2 linked regions of the Callithrix jacchus genome follow. The main gene of each other region encodes a partner of the protein of the gene in region 2 in a complex. Links are inferred from orthologs where the notes say so. Each region holds a gene or a part of one and is shown on either strand. Other genes may lie near its edges.

The links. Proteins that work in one complex are often made in the same cells at the same time.
Region 1: the proteins of KIT (region 2) and SOCS6 are in contact, whole or in part, in a crystal structure (PDB 2VIF), measured with the Homo sapiens proteins. The link is inferred for Callithrix jacchus from reciprocal best matches to the Homo sapiens genes KIT and SOCS6. Residues at the interface, in NP_000213.1 of Homo sapiens: Asn566, Asn567, Tyr568, Val569, Tyr570, Ile571, Asp572, Pro573, Thr574; in NP_004223.2 of Homo sapiens: Arg391, Glu395, Arg409, Asp410, Ser411, Ser412, Asp413, Ser419, Phe422, Thr428, Leu429, His430, Thr431, Arg432, Phe442, Tyr443, Glu444, Gln445, Val448, His460, Asp464, Ala469, Phe470, Cys471, Tyr472, Ser473, Arg474, Ser475, Arg476, Thr482.

The regions. Positions count from the first base shown.
Region 1 is NC_133514.1:112,899,703-112,910,114, forward strand, and holds the start of SOCS6 (suppressor of cytokine signaling 6), read left to right. Parts: upstream 1-3,694; 5' UTR 3,695-3,894; intron 3,895-4,349; exon of another isoform or gene 4,350-4,486; intron 4,487-7,554; exon of another isoform or gene 7,555-7,743; intron 7,744-10,412. UniProt on the Homo sapiens protein: SOCS family proteins form part of a classical negative feedback system that regulates cytokine signal transduction.
Region 2 is NC_133504.1:142,019,803-142,030,114, reverse strand, and holds part of KIT (mast/stem cell growth factor receptor Kit), read left to right. Parts: intron 1-1,036; coding exon 1,037-1,143; intron 1,144-1,233; coding exon 1,234-1,360; intron 1,361-1,638; coding exon 1,639-1,743; intron 1,744-1,826; coding exon 1,827-1,937; intron 1,938-3,142; coding exon 3,143-3,293; intron 3,294-5,103; coding exon 5,104-5,195; intron 5,196-5,652; coding exon 5,653-5,780; intron 5,781-6,830; coding exon 6,831-6,953; intron 6,954-10,207; coding exon 10,208-10,312. UniProt on the Homo sapiens protein: Tyrosine-protein kinase that acts as a cell-surface receptor for the cytokine KITLG/SCF and plays an essential role in the regulation of cell survival and proliferation, hematopoiesis, stem cell maintenance, gametogenesis, mast cell development, migration and function, and in melanogenesis.

The DNA.
Region 1 (10,412 bases), on a different chromosome or scaffold from region 2:
TCAGAAGAAGGGAGGAGGCTTAATATTATAAATCAAACAAGACTTGAAATTGGGAAATGTCAGTTCAAGTCATGAATTGACTTTTGTCACTTTGGGAAAAGTATTTGAGCTCAGTCTGTTTCCTCCTCCTTACAATGAGGATGTTGGACCATTTTCCTGTCTGTAAAAGGGGATGTTGAGGATCATCAGCAAGGGTGCTTCTGGTTCTGTAAGCTATTGCTCTAGGAGGCAGCTGTGGAACTATGCTTCTGTCCCTGGTGAGAGGCTAGACTTTCCATATGACCGGTGGCTATCCCCATGTTTTAGCAAGTATATTAGACAGCACTTATAAACAATAGAAATTGATTATCTTGAGCAAAACAGGGATTTGTTAGAAGGTGTTGGGGACTGGCACTGGATCAGTTTGGTGCAGGTACCTTCTTACCGTAGATGTGATCCTGTCCTCTTCCAGGAGCCCTCCATGATTGTATCACTTGCACAACAGTAAGCATCTGGACAAGAGTTTTTTGGTTCTGCCCTTCCCTTTTCCCTTCCCCTTCCCCTTCTTTCTCCTCCCCTTCCCTTCCTTCTTTCCCATCCTCCCTCCCTCCCTTCTTTTCTCTCTCTCTTTTTGAGCGAGTTTCACGCCGTTGCTCAGACTGGAATGCAATGGCATGATAGCTGTTCACTACAACCTTTGCCTCCTGGGCTGAAGCAATCCTCCAGTCTCAGCCTCCTGAACAACTGGAACTACAGGCATGTACCATCATGCCCAGCTAATTGTTGTATTTTTAGTAGAGACAGGGTTTTGCCACGTTGCCCACGTGAGTCTCAAACTCCTGGGCTCTCAAGCAATCCATCGGCTTTGGCCTCCCAAAGTGCTGGGATTATGGGTGTGAGCCACTGCACCCAGCCTGATTCTTTTTGTAAGACAGAGTCTCGCTCTGTTGTCCAGGCTGGAGTGTGGTGACATGTTCATAGCTTACTGCAACCTGGAACTCCTGGGCTTAATAGATCCTCCCGCCTCCATGCCACCCCACCCTGCTAATATATTAACTTTTTGTAGAGACAACATCTGGCCATGGTGCTCAGGCTGGTCTCGAATCCCTGACCTCAAGTGAACCTTCCACCTTGGCATCCCAAAGTGCTGGGATTACAGGTGTGAGCCTCCCTGTCTGGCCTGGGGAAGAGTTACGGGCATATATCTTAGCTGTGTTGGGTGTTGGTAGAGCAAAGATAAGATTTCCTCCAAAAAAGAGAGCAAGTGCTGATGGGAAAAAGGGTTCAGGCGGATAGCCAAGAAGATAACACATGTTTATGGCCAAAAAGTGTCTGAAATGTAGCCAAGCATGGCGATTTTAAATAGTATATCTAGACTAATATCTCTACACTGAAGTTGTTGCTATATTATTAATACTGTAATCATTATTTAGTGGTAAAGGGTCTAAGCCTAAATTCCAGCTCTGCCCTATAGTAGCTGTGACTTGGGGAGAGTGAATTCTTACCTTCGCACTGCACATCTCAGTTTCCTCATCTGTAAGGCAGGGATGATGTTAATACTGACCTTACTGGATTGATATGAAAATTAAAACACGTAATATATTCAAAAGAATTGAATGCAAGGCGTGACTCATTAGGCCCCTAGTGGTTTTTCTGCATTATTTCATGAAATCTTACAACTATTTGGTATAATTCGTATCAAGCCCCTTCATTCCCCCTTTACAAAAGTAGAAACTGAGGTTACAACTGAGAAACTTGTTTGAGGTCACACGGCTGTCAGACCTGTCAAAGCTGTGCCTCTGGTCCAGCTCTGCTAGACTCAGAACCCCTGGGTCTTAACCATACATTCAAGAGTCTCCTGGAAGTCAACTCTTCCCCACCCTTCACAGCCCCATTGCTGCGAAAAAGGCTCACTAACCCCCTGCTGCACAGCTCCTGCTGGTTGTCCTTTTTAGATAAAATAGGGAGACACTGGCATCCCGAGGCAGTAGGATTGAAAAGTTTGCTTCTTTTCTTTTCGAGATGGAGTCTCGCTCTGTTGCCCAGGCTGGAGTGCGATAGCACTATCTCTGCTCACTGCAACCTCCACTTCCTGGGTTCAAGCAATTCTCCTGCCTCAGTCTCCTGAGTAGCTGGGATTACAGGCACCTGCCACCATGACCGGCTAATTTTTGTATTTTTAGTAGAGACGGGGGTTTCACTGTGTTGGCCAGGCTGGTCTTGAACTCCTGACCTCATGATCCGCCTGCCTTGGCCTCCTAAAGCATTGGGATTACAGGCGTGAGTCACTGCTAATTACCGTTTTTTGTGTTTCCCACTAACCTCTCTGCCAATTCTATTTCAACCTCCATTCTCCAATCATTGTAATTAGGTATTTCAGAATTGTGTTGCATTTCAATCACGGTAACAATAATGGTAGCATTTTATTAATCAAGTAAAAACTGAAAATGACAATGATAGTGTATGACACACAACAAATGACATCAACTTTGCATCACCTAAAGTTCCAACTTTTCTGTTATGAATCTAGATTTCTTGTCGAGCATTTTATATTGAACATAGGAAATAAGATTACTGTACGTGAACATTTTGTAACTAACAACTTTCTGAAGATGTAATTCGGGTAAAAACTCACACCTGAACAACTTTTTTAGACTTTTTTCTAGCCCTTTTTTCTCTGTACTTTCAGTTTTCTTTTTAAACGGTCCATATTATTCAACAACTTTTCAAGTCCACAATAATTCTTGTTAGATTTTAATGATACTTATCTGCCCCCAAGCTCTATTGAAATAATAATGACATTCATTTTTAATCACTTTTCATCATAAGAGAAATACAAATTTTCCTATTGATTTCCCATGGACAAAAATCAAGTTTTCAGCCAGTTTCCCTGTAGACATGAGTCAAGTCCCCAACATGCAACTTGTATATCACACTACCTTGGAATTCGGCGGCACAAACATCAGTGAACTATTACTTGTACAAAACCTCTCTGAAAATGACTAAATGGAAAAGTAAATGGCTCGAAACAAGGAATAAGTTTGGTTTTTTAAAAAGCAATTTTCACGATTCAGTCGAGAAGGTGTGGGGAGCGCTTCCCCACTTGTGGCTCTGCACGGCGTGCGCGCGCGGCAGTCCGGGGGTCTCCTCCCCGCGGGGACAAGGTCGGGGTCCCGGCGCGAGCCCAGACCTGACCAGTGTGGGGGTCCCGCCGCCGGTCGCAGGGGCACAGGGACCGCGTCCGCCAAATCCACGGGGCCTGTGTGTGGGGGAGCCGAGGACTTTCCTTTCCACGTTAGCCAGAGCCACCCCGACCGGAGGAAAGGCACCAGGGACCCCGGGGGCTGGAGGAGCAGCCGCCTGCAGCCATCGGCTGAGGGGCTCAGGAGGGCGCGGGGGTGGGAAGATCCGGGCTCCGCGCCCCGCCCTCCCGCCCCACGACCCTGGCCCGGCGCTCCTCCCCTCGGAACCCCCCACCCAGTGCCCGGCCCCCGCCCCGCCCCGCCCCGCCCCGCGCGGCCCCCAGCCCTAGCCCCGTGCGCCCCGACGCCCCGCCTGCGCCGCAGGCCCGAGTAGTGGGCGCGGGGCGGCCAGCTCGGCTCCTCCGCACCCGCTCCCCGCTCGGGCCGAGTCGCTGCGGCCGCGCGCCCCTCCTGGAGGAGGAGGAGGAAGGAGGCGGGAGGAGGAGTTGCCGAGAAGAGAAGGCGAGCGCGGCAGTCGCGCCGGCGCTGGGCGAGGAAGCGGAGCCGGGCCGCCTCCGGGTGAGCGTTTGGGGAGCCTGGGAGGGAGGCTGGGACCGGGCTTCGCCGTCCGCAGCCCGGGGCACTGGCCGCCGGGCTGGTTTCCGCCTCGAGGCTCAGGGGGCGGATCCGGCGCGGGCCGGGCCGGGGAGGCCGCCGGGCGCGGGCTGCAGCGGTGGGTCTGGGTCAGCGCGAGGGCCTGCGCCGCCTCGGCGGTTGCGCCCGTGGGGGCCGGGGCTGGGGAGCTGGAGCCGGGAGCAGGGACGCGGGAACCGGGAAGCCGGGGCCGGGGCGCGGCGGCCCCTGAAGGGCTGAGGCCTGCGCGGTCGCGGGCGGTTCTTCCCGACCTCTCGGCCTCTTCGGCCGCGGCGCGCCGGCCTGGGCCGCCGCCTTTGTTGCCCGCAGCTCGCCGGGGAGAGGCCGGGGCTCGGTGAGGCCTGGGCGGCGGCGCGGGGCCTGCGCGGCTCAGCGCCCCGGCCGGGTCCCTGCTCGGACCTCCGCGGGCTGGGGGTCGGGACGCGGCGAGGCCGCAGGCGCGAGGGCGGGCCCGGGGCGCGGTGCTGGGACTCGGGGACGCCCCCGCCCCACCGCGAGGTCGCGCCTACGCTGGCGGAGTGGCAGGCCGGGGCTGCTCTGTGGCCGAAGGTGCCGCCGGCCGGCCGCGCACTCACCCGGGCGTGGGGAAGGGACGATTGTGGAATTTAAAGCGCTCCTGGGACCGACGCGGGCCTGAATTTTCCGTTTGCTTCGGGAGTTGGCAACTTCAGGTACACCCTTGTGGCTCACGGAGCAGAATTATGGAAGTTTCTTAGAGGCAGGTCCCGTCACAAAACTTGAAATGTGTGGTGGAATGAGAAACTGGGGTTCCCATCCCCAGAGTTTGGAATGAAGGGCCAGGTGGGAATATGTGGCAGAACTCAGTCTTCCGGTAGCAAAATAAATAATGTTGAATTCATTTCAACAAATGTTTCTGCAACGTCTGCCCGTAGAAGGCAACACGCACTGTGCATGAGGACAGAGAACACACTAATGATAGAAATAACGTGAATTACACACGCGGAACGTCTCCCAGAGACGTTTTAAATTTACTGTGTTCCTTGGGGTAAAGCTATATTAGTAATCAAACAAAGGCAAATGGTCTACTTTCAGTTAAAATATCTGACACCTTCTCAACCACAGAAGATAGCAGTTTGTCTTGACTTTTTTTTTTTTTTTAACCCACAGCATTAAATCCATTTAGCTTACTTGAATGAATGAATCTTATCGGAATAGTTAATGCTGTGGACAGTCAGACTTACTTAAAAACAGGAATGGCATTGCTCACCGGCTTTCACAAAACCCCGAAGAAAGTCTGTAATGCTTTCCCATGGGCTAATTTCTCCTCCTAGTGGGTTTTGTGCACGCGTGGATATGGTAAGGTTTAGGGTCCATTCCTCTGTAAACGAAATAGGTGGCCTTAACCCTTCGATTCCAACACCCTCCCTAAGCCTGGCTTGGTGCCTTGGAGGAAGCTGGTTCGTGGACAGTGGACTGGTTTCCTAGAAGAGCTTCTATCTGGAGTGTGGCCAGGGCTTTCCACTTGTGCCTGGGTAAGGATCAGCTAGGTATTCACCTGAATCTATACTTTTTTAGAATTCCATTCAGCGTCTCTTTTGGAACACTCTCTCTTTCCTACCTTTATCATTTATCTAAATTACCCTCTAAATTGGTAGTCTTGCTCCTTGCTCCTTTCTCCTTGCTCCACCCACCCAAGAGCACACGCAAGGGCATCCCTTAACCCCCTCCCTTGGCAGGAGGGCCCCTCCCCCCCCAGGGAAGGGATTTGAGTGCCGTTGACTGGAAAGTGGTGCTGTACTGACTGAGTTTCTAGTCATTTTGCCTTCCAGTGTTTTTTTTCATTCTTGTATTAGAACTGGAAAACGTATTCTTTTTAGTGCCCCTCCCCCCCCTTTTTTTTAAGAAAACAGAAAGCAAGTATCTTCTTTTTTGCTTTTACTCTGTCACCCAGAGTGGAATACAGTGGTGCAGTCATGGCTCTCTGCAGCCTTGAACTCCTGGGCTCAAGTGATCCACCTCCCTCAGTCTCCTGGGTAACTGGGACTGGAGGCATGTGCCACTAAACCTGGCTGATGGTTTTTTGTAAAAATGGGGTCTTGCTGTGTTGCCGAGGCTGGTCTCAAACTGCAGGCCTCAAGATCCTCTCACCTCAGCCTCCCAAGAGCCCTGGGATTTCAGGCATGAACCACCGCGCCCAGCCTGCAAGTGTCCTCTTTACGTCTGTCTTGTGTAACTACACTCCTCAGAGAAAATCTTGCTAGTTTTCTCCATTGTGGCCAGTTTTCAGAAGACTTTTGGGTTACTGATCATGTCTTTTATTTTGCTTATAGAGGTGTGATCTTATTTAAAAGTCCAAACATAGATGGTCCCCAGTTTTGGATTTTTTGACTTTTTGGTGGAGCAGAAATGATACACATTCAGTATGCGCCTCGACTTATATCCATATAAACCCACTGTGAGTTTTGACTTTTAAGGTATTTTCAGTTTATCATGGGCATACTGGAATGTAAGTTGGGGACGTCTGCCATTTGCAAATCTGTAGCAATAATTTTTATTCTCTTAAAAATATGCACTCATGAGAAAGGATATTACATATATAAATACATATGCATTTGGAAGTATTAGGTCAGATACCTCATTTATAATCCAGTATAACTGATGGATTTGTGTACATTCTGTTTTAATGCTTAATAAACTTAGATAAATAAATGAACTAAAAAGATCTCCTTTTGCTTTTTTCTGTTTATTTCATCCTTTGTAGGAAGTGAGGATTGTCTATTTCAGTCCTCTGTCCTCATCCCTGACCTCTTCCAATTCTGGAAATTATATATGCATCTGTGGTGCCAAAGTACTTTTGTAAAATTACTCATTTTACAAGGGAGAAATTCCTAATACTAGTGTATGTCATAAAAAGGAGAAACTTTCTTATATGGCCAGATTGATAGAAATAATTGTTCAGATATTAAAAGAGAAGCAACGAAAGAGATGTTTAATATTGTTTTAAAGTGAAATTATCATTAATGTTTTTATGGATAATTTATTATGCTGTTTGGCATGTTGGTTTAGCTAATAAGTTGTGATGGCTTTAGGACTGAGGACACTGTTTACTTAGACTGATTTCAGGTCTTTACTGACCCATACAAACAATAAATTTTACTTAGTTGGGGCAGTTGATTTTAGGTGGCTGTTGGTCTTGATGTTTCAAGAACAGACATATTTAGGTAAGCCATGTGAGGTTTCAGTTCCCACCTCGCACACTCTGGACGTTTTGGAGCATCCATTTACCATCTCTGTGAACTTGAGCATGTTCTGTATGCCCTCTGAGTCCTATTCCTCATGTGGGGATAATAATTTATCTCACAAAGTTACAATGAATATGTATTTATGGTAAAACTTTTTGTTTGTTTGTTTTTGAGATGGGGATCTTGCTCTGTTGCCCAGGCTGGAGTGCAGTGGCGTGATCAGAACTCGCTGCAGCCTCATCCTCCCAGGCTCAAACAAACAATCCATACACCTCAGCTTCCCTCCGCTAGTAGCTGGGACCACGAATGCATGCCACTGTGCCCAGCTGATTTTTTTATTTTTTGTAGAGCTGGAGTCTCCTTATGTTGCCCAGGTTGGTCTTCAAATCATGGGCTCAAGTGATCCTCCCACCTTTGCCTCCCAAAGCGTTGAGATTGCAGGCATGAGTTCCTGTGCCCAGCCAAAAATCCACACTCTTTACCTGTGACTGTAACATTTCTGCCTAGTTCTGAAATGTGTTTTCATTTCTCCCTAGTTCTCATCTTCAGCAACCTTCCCTGCCTTACCAGGGTTCTGCCCTAGCCTTTCTGTTCCTCAACAATCTGACCTGCTTCCTGCACCCCCACCTTTGACACAGTAGTTCGCAGTGTCCTTCAGTGGCTTCTGTGGTTGGTTCATTCTCAGATCTTAACGCCAGTGTCACCACCCAGAGACTTCATGGACGGTAAGGTATTACGGTTCCTTTAGTAATCCCAAGTCATTAACTTGTATGGTTCCTTCATAACCTCTATTATTTTCTGTAATTATTTAGTTTACTTGTTTCTGCTGTTTCCTCCCCCCACCCCGCCCTGAATAAGTTCTATATGGGCACAGTGCCTACGGTGGTCCTTCTTTTCTGTGTCCCTGACACAGCCCAGGGGCCTGGCCACTGAGTAGGAGAGGTGTGGCTATACAGAAAGTACTTGGAGTTTTCATGTTGTTATCTCCACCTTAAAGGCAACGACATGCTGTCTGCATGTTAGAAAGTTGTTGGTGTTTCGTGGTGTTTGTCCTTTTCTGAACTGGTCTGCTTGTGTAGCTGAGTAAATCATAGCACTAATAAAACCAAAGCCCTTATAATTACATGGCCCCAACAGCCCCACAGAGAGAGGACTGTCACTGCCTCTAGAGCCGTAATGTGTGTCTGAGTGACTCAAGGACCAGACTAACTTGCAGTGTAGACGCCCATATCTCCTGCTTCTGGAAGTATAGTTATGTATAGTGTGTAGAAAGTCACTATTCCCAAAACACGTTTCCCTTGGTCATGTGGCTTAGTAAAGTGGAACCTCAGTTATCTGAAACCTCCTGGTATCCTCAGATTTCTGGTGTAGAATTAAAGCCAGAAGGAAAAACTCCTTGGAAATTAGAAAAGCCAGAGACTAGGCCGGGCACAGTGGCTCATGCCTGTAATCCCAACATTTCGGAAGCCCAAGGCAGGTGGTTCGCCTGAGGTCAGGAGTTCGAGACCAGCCTGACCAATATGATGAAACTCCACCTGTACTGAAAGTACAAAAACTAGCTGGGAGTGGTAGCATGTGCTTGTAGTCCCAGCAACTTGGGAGGCTGAGAAAGGAGAATTGCTTGAACTGAGGAGGTAGAGGTTGCAGTGAGCCGAGATCGCACAGCACCCCAGGCTGGGCGACAGAGCGAGACTCTGTCTCAAAAAAAGAAAAGAAAAAGAGAAAGAGAAAGAAAGAAAGGAGGGAGGAAAGGAGGGAAAGATCAGAGACTTAGAAGCCCTCGATGGTAACTGAGGAAGGCGGTCTCTCAAGGGAATGCAGATCTAGGTTTGAATTTCAGCACTTCAATTTTATAGAGTATATTAAAAAAAAATCTTAAAGTTTTTGTTGCTTTACATATAAAGTAATAATGCTGTTTCTCTCAGAGCTGGTGTGAAAATGGAGTGACATAATGCATGTTAGTGTATTAATTCAGTGCCTGAAATATAACAAGTGCTAATACTTTAACACTAGTATTCTGCTCCTTAATCTGACCGCTTTTGACTAGTCAGATTACATTTGAAAATAATAGTGATAATTCCTACTTAAAGTAACTATTACTATTAATTTAAAACATCTGACTAGTCAAAAGTAGTATTCTCTGATTAATCAGCCACATCTTTGTTAGACATGAGTGTTTTTGTTAAGGAAGCCTAATGTGGGAAAAGGGTTTGAGACCAAAGGAACAAGAGAAATGGGAATGAAAGCAGTAAGCTAGAGTCGTCTTCAGAAGCAGTGTTAGTGCAAGCTGCTAGAATGGTAAGGATGACAGGTGGCTGCAGTGTTAGCAGCAGTGGCCCGACGTGGCTGTGGGGTCATTGCAGTTCACTGATGGGAGACCGAGCCTTCTGCTCTGAGTACGTTTGTTCTCATATTGTTTTATCACTCCTAACAGCAACACACTAAAATACTTTCTTAAAATTATTAAAAGGGCATCACACTTGGAGATTGGGGAGTGATGATGATCTTATTTTCTGTAGTATCGGACTCTTGAGTGTAGAGAAAAAGCAGGAAGACAAGCTATATCTGAAGGCCTGGGAGGCAGGCAGTGATCTAAACATCAGTAAGTCCTAATGGTGTCGTTATGCCTTCCTGAAATTTTCCAACAGATACATTTGGTCATCTGGAGAGGCATCCATTTATATATAGCAGTTTGTGACAGTCTGAGATTATACTTAATATACACACTTGTGCTTAAAATACCGTTTTGAAGACAAGAATGTTTGGCTCCTATTAGATAAGATTTCCATCAAAAACAATTTCAATAGTTCAGTGTTAATCTTTAGAATTATCTAGACAAGGTTTTTTTACTCAGTGCTCTGGGTAGCCAATTATTTGGTGCTGTTTATGGTTGCACTTAAAGTGATTTTTACGGTACACGTTATTCTGACCATGTCAATAATATGCTAGATGGTTGAAGCAGTTGGGTTAGCAGGTTTTTAAAGTCAGACGGATTCTTACTGGTAGATTTTTACTGTGTCTGTATGTTATTTGTCTAAAGTTTGTTTCGATAATGGTGTTTGTTTTTAAAGCTTAAATTTGGTTTTAAGTAACATATTACCATCAGACAATAGTCATTTTTGTTTGTTGACATTGCTTTTAAAGTTAAAAAAAAAGTAACATATTTAGGAAACAACATTATTGCCAAATACCATAGACTGGCAGAAAATGTAAGCAAGTACCGAGGCAGAGAATTGTAGTGGGATTTTAGTGATTTTATACATTTGCAGCAGAATTACTGCATTTAGAGCTAGAGGAAACTCCTCTGATTATAGATGATCTTCATCCTTGCACAGATGAGGAAATTGGGTCTAAGCAGGGTACGTCATCTGCCCAGAGTCACACGTCACATTAG
Region 2 (10,312 bases):
TCCTGAGTAGCTGGGATTACAGGCACGCACCACCATGCCCAGCTAATTTTTTGTATTTTTAGTAGAGACAGGGTTTCACCATGTTGACCAAGATGGTCTCGATCTCTTGACCTCATGATCCACCCACTTCGGCCTCCCAAAGTGCTGGGATTATAGGCGTGAGCCACGGCACCTGGCCAATAGGGGGAATATATTTACCTTACACCCAAGCATATTAGAACAATCTAAAATTTAATTTCAGTTATTTAAAATGAATTATTTTAATACTTTGTCAGACACTGTATCCAAAAGTTAACACTGCCTTTATGAGGTCATGTTAGGAAGTTATTTCTTTAAAATACTTAAAATTTGATTCATTTGTGACTAACTCTCTTAACATAAGTTAAATGAGCCTTGTGGACAAATTGATGAATTGGTACAAAATGAGAAACAAAGAAACTGGGCCCTTACTTTTTAGGCCTTCCTGGGGTTTGTTTTTTTTTGAGTTGGCAAAGACCAGTGCCAAAAAGTGGCGTATTTTCTCAGGTTTTGAGTAATGAGGGGAAGAATCTTCCATTGTTCTACATCATCGATTTTTCAGAGAGGGCAATGAAAAGAATACCTTAAAAATGTTTTTTGTGGTTGTGAAAGATGTTCATGCTCAGTGTAGAAAATACGGAAAATACAGGAAAGCATAAAAAAGAAAATATAAACCATCTATAAAGGAAGCTTCTTTTTAAAGTTGTGCAAGGCAGGAATTTGATTGAAGTACAAAGTGCATTCAGATGTTGCTTTTCATTGAAAAACAGCATAAATTATTCCTGTTCTACGGAAATCTCAACTTTTATTCTGCAGTATTCTGGTTTCAAGTTATATTTTTGAAGATTCATTTGAATAACAAGAGTACAATATAACAAAGGTGGGGCTCTGAGACTCACACAGCTTTGTATTTTGCCATGGACTGTGAGCGGGGAGGTGGGTCGATCTGGAATTGCGGGGCTATGGCAGAGATCCCATCCTGCCGATAGTTTGTGATTCCACATTTCTCTCATTTTAGAGCAAATCCAGCCCCACACCCTGTTCACTCCTTTGCTGATTGGTTTCGTAGTCGTAGCTGGCATGATGTGCATTATTGTGATGATTCTGACCTACAAATATTTACAGGTAACCATTTATTTGTTCTCTCTGCAGAGTGCTCTAATGACTGAGACAATAATTACTAAACGTGATCTGTCTTTGCCTTTCTCCCCACAGAAACCCATGTATGAAGTACAGTGGAAGGTTGTTGAGGAGATAAATGGAAATAATTATGTTTACATAGACCCAACACAACTTCCTTATGATCACAAATGGGAGTTTCCCAGAAACAGGCTGAGTTTTGGTCAGTATGAAACAGGGGTTTTCCATGTCACCTTTTCGGGTACATCTAACAGTGACTTTAGGGAACTCCAGTGGCTTCATTTGTTTTGTTCCACCTGAAACAGAGTTTTCTGTGAAATTGCACCTCCTCTGATAGGTTTGGCATAGAGAACAGTATAGGAAAATGTCTCTAGACAAAATTGTCCCTAATTCCTTAATTGATTTTGAAACTACACAAATGGTCCTTCAGTTCCACCACCAGCACCACCACCACTTACCTTGTTGTCTTCCTTCCTACAGGGAAAACCCTGGGTGCTGGTGCTTTTGGGAAGGTTGTTGAGGCAACTGCTTATGGCTTAATTAAGTCGGACACGGCCATGACTGTCGCTGTAAAGATGCTCAAACGTAAGCTCCTGTATGGTACTGCATGCACGCAACACGAGTTTGCCAAATGTGCTTTTTGCTAAAATGCTTGTTTCCAATTTTAGCAAGTGCGCATTTAACAGAACGGGAAGCCCTCATGTCTGAACTCAAAGTCCTGAGTTACCTTGGTAATCATATGAATATTGTGAATCTTCTTGGAGCCTGCACCATTGGAGGTAAAGCCATGTCCAAATTGCCTTTTTTTGTTAAGTTATCCAAAGATGACATTTTAATATGATTTTGACAATGCTGGATTATAAGTTGCTGGAAGACTTTCACCCAGACTATTATTCTCTCCTGCTAGATTTTGTTTTCCTTACTGTTCTTAAGAATGCAGATTTTAATTTTATTACTACAAGGTAGATCAGCCCAGGACATACACTAGTTACTGTCGTGTTTGTAACATCAACAACATTGGCTTCTCGAATAGCTCATCCTGACCAGAAGGCTTCTCTTATCTTGTAAGCTTTATATCTTTCTTGATCATATGTAGCCACTGAAAGGGTTAATATTCATTTGCATACTATAATTGAAAATAGGCACCTAAGCCTACTAGTTCTCAGATATATACCAAGTGAGGCAAACATTTCACTTCTGTAAAAATAAGTTTCCAATCTGAAGCCTTAGTTGAGGTTTCCATCAAGGATGTCTGTGATGTTTACAGAAAGTATTTCAGTTGAAAGAAACAAAGATGTGTAAAATGAGCTGTTCCTGGAGATGCACGGTGAAGTTGACAGCTTTATGTAATGTCTACAGACAACCCCTGTAAATGTTGCTTCACCGCATCATGAATTGTTTATGAGGAAATTTCTTACCCAAGTTAATTAGTTGCCTCTTACCTCCGAACTACAGTTTTAAACATTCATAACACCAGAAAGATTTTTCAACTAGTAGTGCTCAGAACAGAGGTCATTTTAGGTTTTCACTCACTTTCCAGTCTCATCCCAGCAAGCTGCTCCATGTGGCTGATGTCCCCACTATGCCACAGTTTGTACCTTCATTATTTCCATAATAATGTTACAGAGAGCACGTGAAGCCCTGCTGTAAACAGAAGTGAATCAAAGGATTCACGTAGGAAGCTTGATGATAGTAGAACCTTTGAAAGCAGTAACTTCTGTCTGTAAAACCAGCAGTCATGCTTGGCCCCAAATACTGATGTCACTTAGAAATTCAGGTTAACAGAGGCTTGCTTGTTTTATGTTACTCCATAATGCTGCTTTTTTGATAAGCATTGTTAATATATAGGATCGTATTGGGACTAAGTAGGCTTATCCACTGAAGCTGAATATTAATGGCCATGACCACCCTTGGGTATTTTTATGGGAGGCAGAATTAATATACATATCTCACCTTCTTCTAACCTTTTCTTACGTGCTTGTAGGGCCCACCCTGGTCATTACAGAATATTGTTGCTATGGTGATCTTTTGAATTTTTTGAGAAGAAAACGTGATTCATTTATTTGCTCAAAGCAAGAAGATCATGCAGAAGCTGCACTTTATAAGAATCTTCTGCATTCAAAGGAGTCTTCCTGGTAAGATTGATTTACGTAAATAGTTAGCTGTTGACAGGCAGTTCATGGGGTCATAAGGGTTTGCAATCAAGGCTGATTCTTTAAAAAATGAACTGAGGTACTCTGAGGTATGAAATCAAAATTATTAAATCATTTAAATGTGATTAACAGTTTAGAAAGTTCAAATTGTGTTTTTAAAGATTCAAACTGTGATAAACCTGGATTTTTGCTGATTTTTAAAAAATGCATTTTTACTTTTTTCTACACTTTAGTTCTATGCAACTGAATGAATTCTATTTCTGTTTCTTATGGTTCTGTCCTGCATGTATTTCCATTTATACCACTGAGCTTGGTGCTATATGCATGTTTCCAGTGAGACACTGTTTATAGGGAAAATGCTAAAGCCTCTCAAGTTGCCACAGTAAAGTCCTTTAAAACCTTTAGCAGAATGACAGAGAGCTCTGAACATATCTCTACACGTAGGCTTTTTGCCATCGACCTCTGAATTATTCCTATATGCCTTGCCTCTTGCCCCTTTTAATTCATCATGCTATTAAAAGATATAACCACTCCAGCACATTTTTATAAATTCTGGACACCATTCTCATCTCTTTCATCATGGCTGCCATTCTGAATTTGAATCATCTATAAAGAGCTTCAAGTTTGATTTACAACCAGAAAAGAAACTTGCCTATTCTTTCTTTGGAAGTGCTGTTATGAGCCACCATTTGAGAAGACTTCCTAGATTTACTTCACCCAGTAGAAGTCATGATTATCTTGGCCAATCCCCTATACTACAGTTGGGTGGGAGATTTCTCTTATCCTTTTTATGCACTACATCCCCTGCACCTTGTGACGGCAAGACGTTGCCTCCTAAACTCTTAACACCAGGCCCTCTAGGAGACCTCAGTAAATAATATTGATGGGCAATTACCTTTTAGAGCCATTTTCTGTACCTCTGGCTAAAGTTTAAAGCCCCAGGTGAAACTTTTTATTTTTTTAATCCTATAAACTTGAATAGTTTAAAGTGGTAGTAAAATTCTGTACAAAACCACCTTTTATTAGTTTCTCCTGGGCATGTGCTCATTATATGAAGAAATGAGCCATTTTGCTTCTTTCCGAAATCTTGGCCCTATCTATATTCTTTAACTTTCTGAAATAATGGCCGAAATTGTTCAATTCTGTGTGATGTTCTTTGTGCTTTGGGATCCCATATGGGATTGGAACCACCAGCACACTCTGAAGGAGATTGTTGTCATGGTGTTTCTATGCTAATCAGAAGCAGGAAGTACTAGAAATCTTGAAGAGTCTCCAGCCAAATGTTGCAGATTGAAGAGGTCCAGATGGTTCAGAAAATCATCCAAATTATTGGTGTTTATCTGAACCAACTTGATTTTTTTTTTTAAACCTTATTCCATCAGTCACTATATGTTAACGATCTCTGTCTCCCCCCATAACACATCTTAGAAGCTCCTCTTCTTTGTCTTTCTTTCATCTTGTTTCCTGGGGCTCATTTAGAGAGTTTGAGGTAATACAGGATACCATTTTCGTTTCCCATTAAATCCACGTGTCAAGAGATGGGAAATTTCTAACCTGGGTCCCCTCTATGATTAAACACAGAAAGGACACCTAATTTCTGGGCATAGACCCCAATATTGAATATTAAAAACTCATATTTTACAGAACAAGATTTTCATTCATATTTTACTTTCCTCAAGTCAGTCCAGTCTATTATGTAGCAAAGGGGATGACGAGGGAGAGCCTGACCCATGAGTGTCAGGCTTCTGCACGTCCCACTTGATTCAGTCATGACTTGTTTCATCTCTCCCAGCAGCGATAGTACTAACGAATACATGGACATGAAACCTGGAGTTTCTTATGTCGTTCCAACCAAGGCCGAGAAAAGGAGATCTGCGAGAGTAGGTGGGTACCCACCTATCAAGCAACAAGAGCAACTTTATTTACAGAGAGTATATATATATCATGCTAATGTGGAATACAATGTCATTCCCAGTAGCAATGATGGAAACCAGTTCTGCTTTATGGTAGCCATGCCAATGGTCGATGGCAGTTAGGGTTGCAAGTGGGTGTTTGGGGTTAGAGTATATGTTTTTGTGTCTGAGCATCTTACTATAGACTTGGGATTTTTGTATTAATTCGCCATCCCTCTCTTCTACGGATTTTGTAACCCAGCCTAGGATTGTTAAATACTAATTTTGTGATTCAGCATCTACCTTTCCTGGACACCAGGGAGGTGATCTGCCTGCAAGTTCACATTAGTTCATTCATTACCAGCCTTTGGTATTGTCATTGCCACTGTCTTTTCCTTTTCTAACCTTTATGGTTTTAATTGCTAAGAAAAACCCTCCCTTCATCACAGGCTCATACATAGAAAGAGATGTGACTCCTGCCATTATGGAGGATGACGAGTTGGCCCTAGACTTAGAAGACTTGCTGAGCTTTTCTTACCAGGTGGCAAAGGGCATGGCTTTCCTCGCCTCCAAGAATGTAAGTGGGAATGATTCTCAAAAGAGTTTTTTGTTTTGTTTTGTTTTTTAAACAGAATTTTAGAGCCATAGTTAGAAGGCAGAGTGTCATTTTGAAGTGTGGTAACCAAAAGCAGAGGAAATTTAGTTTCTTCGTGTTCCAACTGCTGTCTCTTTGGAATTCCTGTTCTAATTTATAAGCTTCAAAGTGTAAGCCTGTCAAAATGAGTTTTCTATGAATATTCTTTTATATGCAGTGAATTCATTTAAAACTTCTGACTTTTAGGATATAGGATATGTTCCTAGAGAATAGAAACATTTTATCAGTAAAAGCAGAGGGCACCTCATAGTTACAAGGATTGGGGTGAAGCATAGACTTGAATTTTATTGAAGTTAGACCCAAGTATTACAATGCATGGCTTATGAAGTGTTGGGAAATAAGGGGTCAAGAGAGTATAATAAACACTTGGGAGAAAGATAGGAATGGAAAAAGAATGATGGAACCAAGAAAAGAAGATGGTCTGTGGAAAGGTGAGAGGAATTCCTTAGGACATAAGATTAACCGAACAGAATGAGGTTACCAGTCCTATCCTTAAATGTCATGGGTGACATTTCCCAACAATTACCAAACTAAGAAAGGACACAGGATGGCTGAAATAAAGACCTTCTTCCGTGTGTCCTTGGGAAATGTCAAATTGAAGTTGCAAAGGCATGTTAGGAATTCTGTGAAAGGACATTCAAAGAGATGTATGCAAAATGAATTTCCAGTTTCAGCAATATGATATGACTATTTCTTATGAATTTTCCTACGAATAAAAGCAGTCCTGAGAAGAAAATACATTTATTAGAATTGCTTTTGAAAGAGATTATAGTAATTAGACTCTTGATTATGTGAACATCATTCAAGGCATGCTTTTGATTTTTTTTTGTTGTTGTTGGTGTACTGAATACTTTAAAACAAAAGTATTGGATTTTTTATAATATAACAACACTCTAATATTAAAAAGTTAGTTTCACTCTTTACAAGTTAAAGTGAATTTAAATGGTTTTCTTTTCTTCCCCAATCGAATAGTGTATTCACAGAGACTTGGCAGCCAGAAATATCCTCCTTACTCATGGTCGAATCACAAAGATTTGTGATTTTGGTCTAGCCAGAGACATCAAGAATGATTCTAATTATGTGGTTAAAGGAAATGTGAGTACCCATTCCCTGCTTGATAGTCCTGCAAAGGAGTTGTAGTTTCAACTTTCAATAAAAATTGTTGCCTATGATTTTCATAATGTAAATCCTGTCTTGAGCTATCACATATTTTAGCAGTCAAATTTAGTGTACTTCAGCAAAATTTGCATGGTATGCTGAACATTACTACAACTAACATTCAGTAATGGAATTCCTAATTCTAATTGTGTAATTATGGGGCACGTGAAGGAAACAGAAATAGCCTTAATTTTCATTAGAGCCTGAGAATAGCAATGAACTTGATTTTGTTCAACTGTATCAAATGTAGGTCATTGAAGGTCACAGCAGGAGAAATTTTGGGGGATTGACATGCCGTGTGAAGAAGATTAAAATCTAAGGTCATGTTCAGAGTTAGCCATATAGAATGTTGGATCCTAGAATTCATGGAGAGCTATTAAATGGGTTCATAAGTAATAATGAGTTTGTAGAACATAGAAAATGTTTTTCAAAGTGCTATATTTCATTGCCAATTTTTATTGAACTCAGAACAAACTCTTGCCCTACAATTGCAGTGTCTTCCTATTTTAAAAGTTGGAGAAACTAAGGCATAGTATATTTTCATGCTTTTTGTCTGAGGTGACACAGGGCAGGACCCAGAGCCTGTGATTTCCAGAGTGGCATCCCATCGCCATGGAAAACCATATTGCCCTGTATATTCTTCTATGTCTTTTTCTTACTGGGCCCATTTCCACAGTCCAGATTTATTCCTGGAGGTAGATTTTTGTGCCCCTTATGATAATGTAATATTTTCTCTCTCATCACTATGGTGTCTCTACTGGTAGTCTGTACTTGACTTGGTATGGCTGTGTTTATCTTCTGGCCAAAGCATGAATTTCTGAGAAGTCTGTCCTGAAGCTAGATATCATCATCAGGAGTGATAATAAAAACAACTTCTCTTCATCCTGGTGTGATTTTGGAAGGAAGAATAACAAGTTGTTTATTATCTAGGCCTCTGAACATTGACCAAAGGGAGGAGAAAGAAGATGGCAACCTCCAGGCTCAGTCTTGATTAATTCTGTAATCTGCCTCCATTATTTCATGGCTGTATAATATTGTCAAGACTTACCCAACATCTCTGAATCTTGGTTTTTCTCCCCTTGGGAATAATAGTGATTCCTGACTCAGAAAGTTATTTTGAGGATTAAAGGAGTTAATAGATGTAAAGTGCTTAGAACGTGCCAGACATATTGTTACGATTCTTTATAGATGTCTTATAAATAATCCTGCCTATTGTTATATACTGTTTTGTTATTGGTTAGTAGTGACCTTAGTTTGAATTGACAAAGGGGTTGGCCCCCATCAGGCTTCCAGATTATAGACTCCAGCTCAAGGAGTCTACAATCGAACTAACCAATCACAGGCATTGCTTTCACCAGGCTTGTGGGTAAGGAGAATTTCTGAAACAAGATAAGGACAAGGAAACTCACACATGTTACTGCCCAGCGTGTATGTCATCATCATTTGAGAACTCCTTGTTGTGTCAGGGTCTCTGAAGTTCTTCCTTTCACATGAGTTCTTCATCATTTTTTCATGTCATGGCCCCTTTTAGAGTCTGGTAAAGCCTGTGGAACCGTTGTCAGAACACTGTTTTCAACGCCTGTGATGAAATACATAGGACTGCCAAGGAAAACAGTTAAATCGAAGTAGCTATCAGGATATTAAGTAAATTTGTGGTATGTCAGTACATGTGTTTACTACAGAGAGTAACAGATTCTTTTAGGTTGGTGTAAAAGCAATTGTGAGCTTTGCTATTTTTTTTTTTTTTTTTTTTTTTTTTTTTTTTTTTTTCAGAAAACCACTGTAATTTTAGAGTGGTGATTAAATAGGATTTTGAGATACATGTAAAGACTTAATAGGATATGAAGGTATTTATGATTACTGTTCATGACAAAGCCACAGGTACAGCTGATACTACTGTGGCTTATCACCTTCGTTAGTAATTTAAAGAAATGCTAAACTTCATCTAGAAATTAGTGAAAGTAAGGATGTCGTTTTTCCTTTCCAAGTTCACAGGCCCCTGAGTTTGACACCTGTAGATCTTAGGTTAAGAGCCCTTATAGGATTTAGCACAAGATATAGGAAGAGAAGGCTTTTTTTTAACTGACTAAAATAAGAAAAAAAAAGAAAGAAAAGCTTTCCCAGTTTTCAATCCTAAGTTGATTCAGAGAAGGGTTGATTTAGCTTTTTATGGCAGATTAAGATCAGGAATCCAGAATGCATCTAAGAGGAATAGTTTAGGTCAACTTTAGGTCAGAAAGTTTAGGTCATCTTCAATGAAGAGAGTTCTCCAAAGAGTCATGATCATCACAAGCCACTACTGTCTATCGAGTACTTGCCTTTATTCTAGGCAATTTTTCAGATAGCACTGAGTCAGGCAGTGCTAAGCATTTTTACCCACATTACCTTATTTAACCCATAGGACACATAAAATTAAAAGTATTTATTTTGTTTTACAGAAGAAGATACTGAGGCTTAATTACAAATATTTCAGCAACTTTCCCCATGTATTAGAATTTTGGGTTTTAAAAGAAAACCCAAAATAAAAGAAGTCTAGGGGTAGCAGGCCAGGATTGGTATAACGGTTCCATGGAGTATTCCAGGCCAAGTCTTTCCTTTGCATGCTTAACCATTCTTGGGTGTAACCCCATGTTCATGGTCCAGGATGACCACCAGGTAGCCAGCCATCACATACACGAGGGAGGGGGCACATGCCAGCTGTATTTGTAAGGAGGTTTTCCAGAAGTTGGCGTACAGCACTTAACAACTTAGTGGCTAAAACCGAGTCACCTGACTATAGCTAGCTGCAAAGGAGGCTGGGAAATGTAGTCCTAATTGTGAGAGGCTGTATTTCTGTTTTAAGAAAGGAGAGGGACATATTCAGTGGCAACTAAAAAAATCTCTGTATTACGTAAGGCACATGGTCGAGCCAGGGCTAAAATGTCTAGTCATCTCGGACATTTGTGCTCTTAATCACCATGCTGTACTGACATAGTGTTCACAGCTTAAAATGGGGATAATGCACTTGTGAGCCATGTATTTCAGAGGTAGTTGGGATCAGTTGAGATCATAAAGGTAAAAGGTCTTTGTGAGATGGTACTCAAGTTCTCACCCCATTTTTCAGCAACAGCAGCATCTATAAGAATATCTCCTGTTCAGTTTTGTTGAGCTTCTGAATTAACATTGTTGACTCTGTTGTGCTTCTATTACAGGCTCGATTACCTGTGAAGTGGATGGCACCTGAGAGCATCTTCAATTGTGTATACACATTTGAAAGTGACGTCTGGTCCTATGGGATTTTTCTTTGGGAGCTGTTC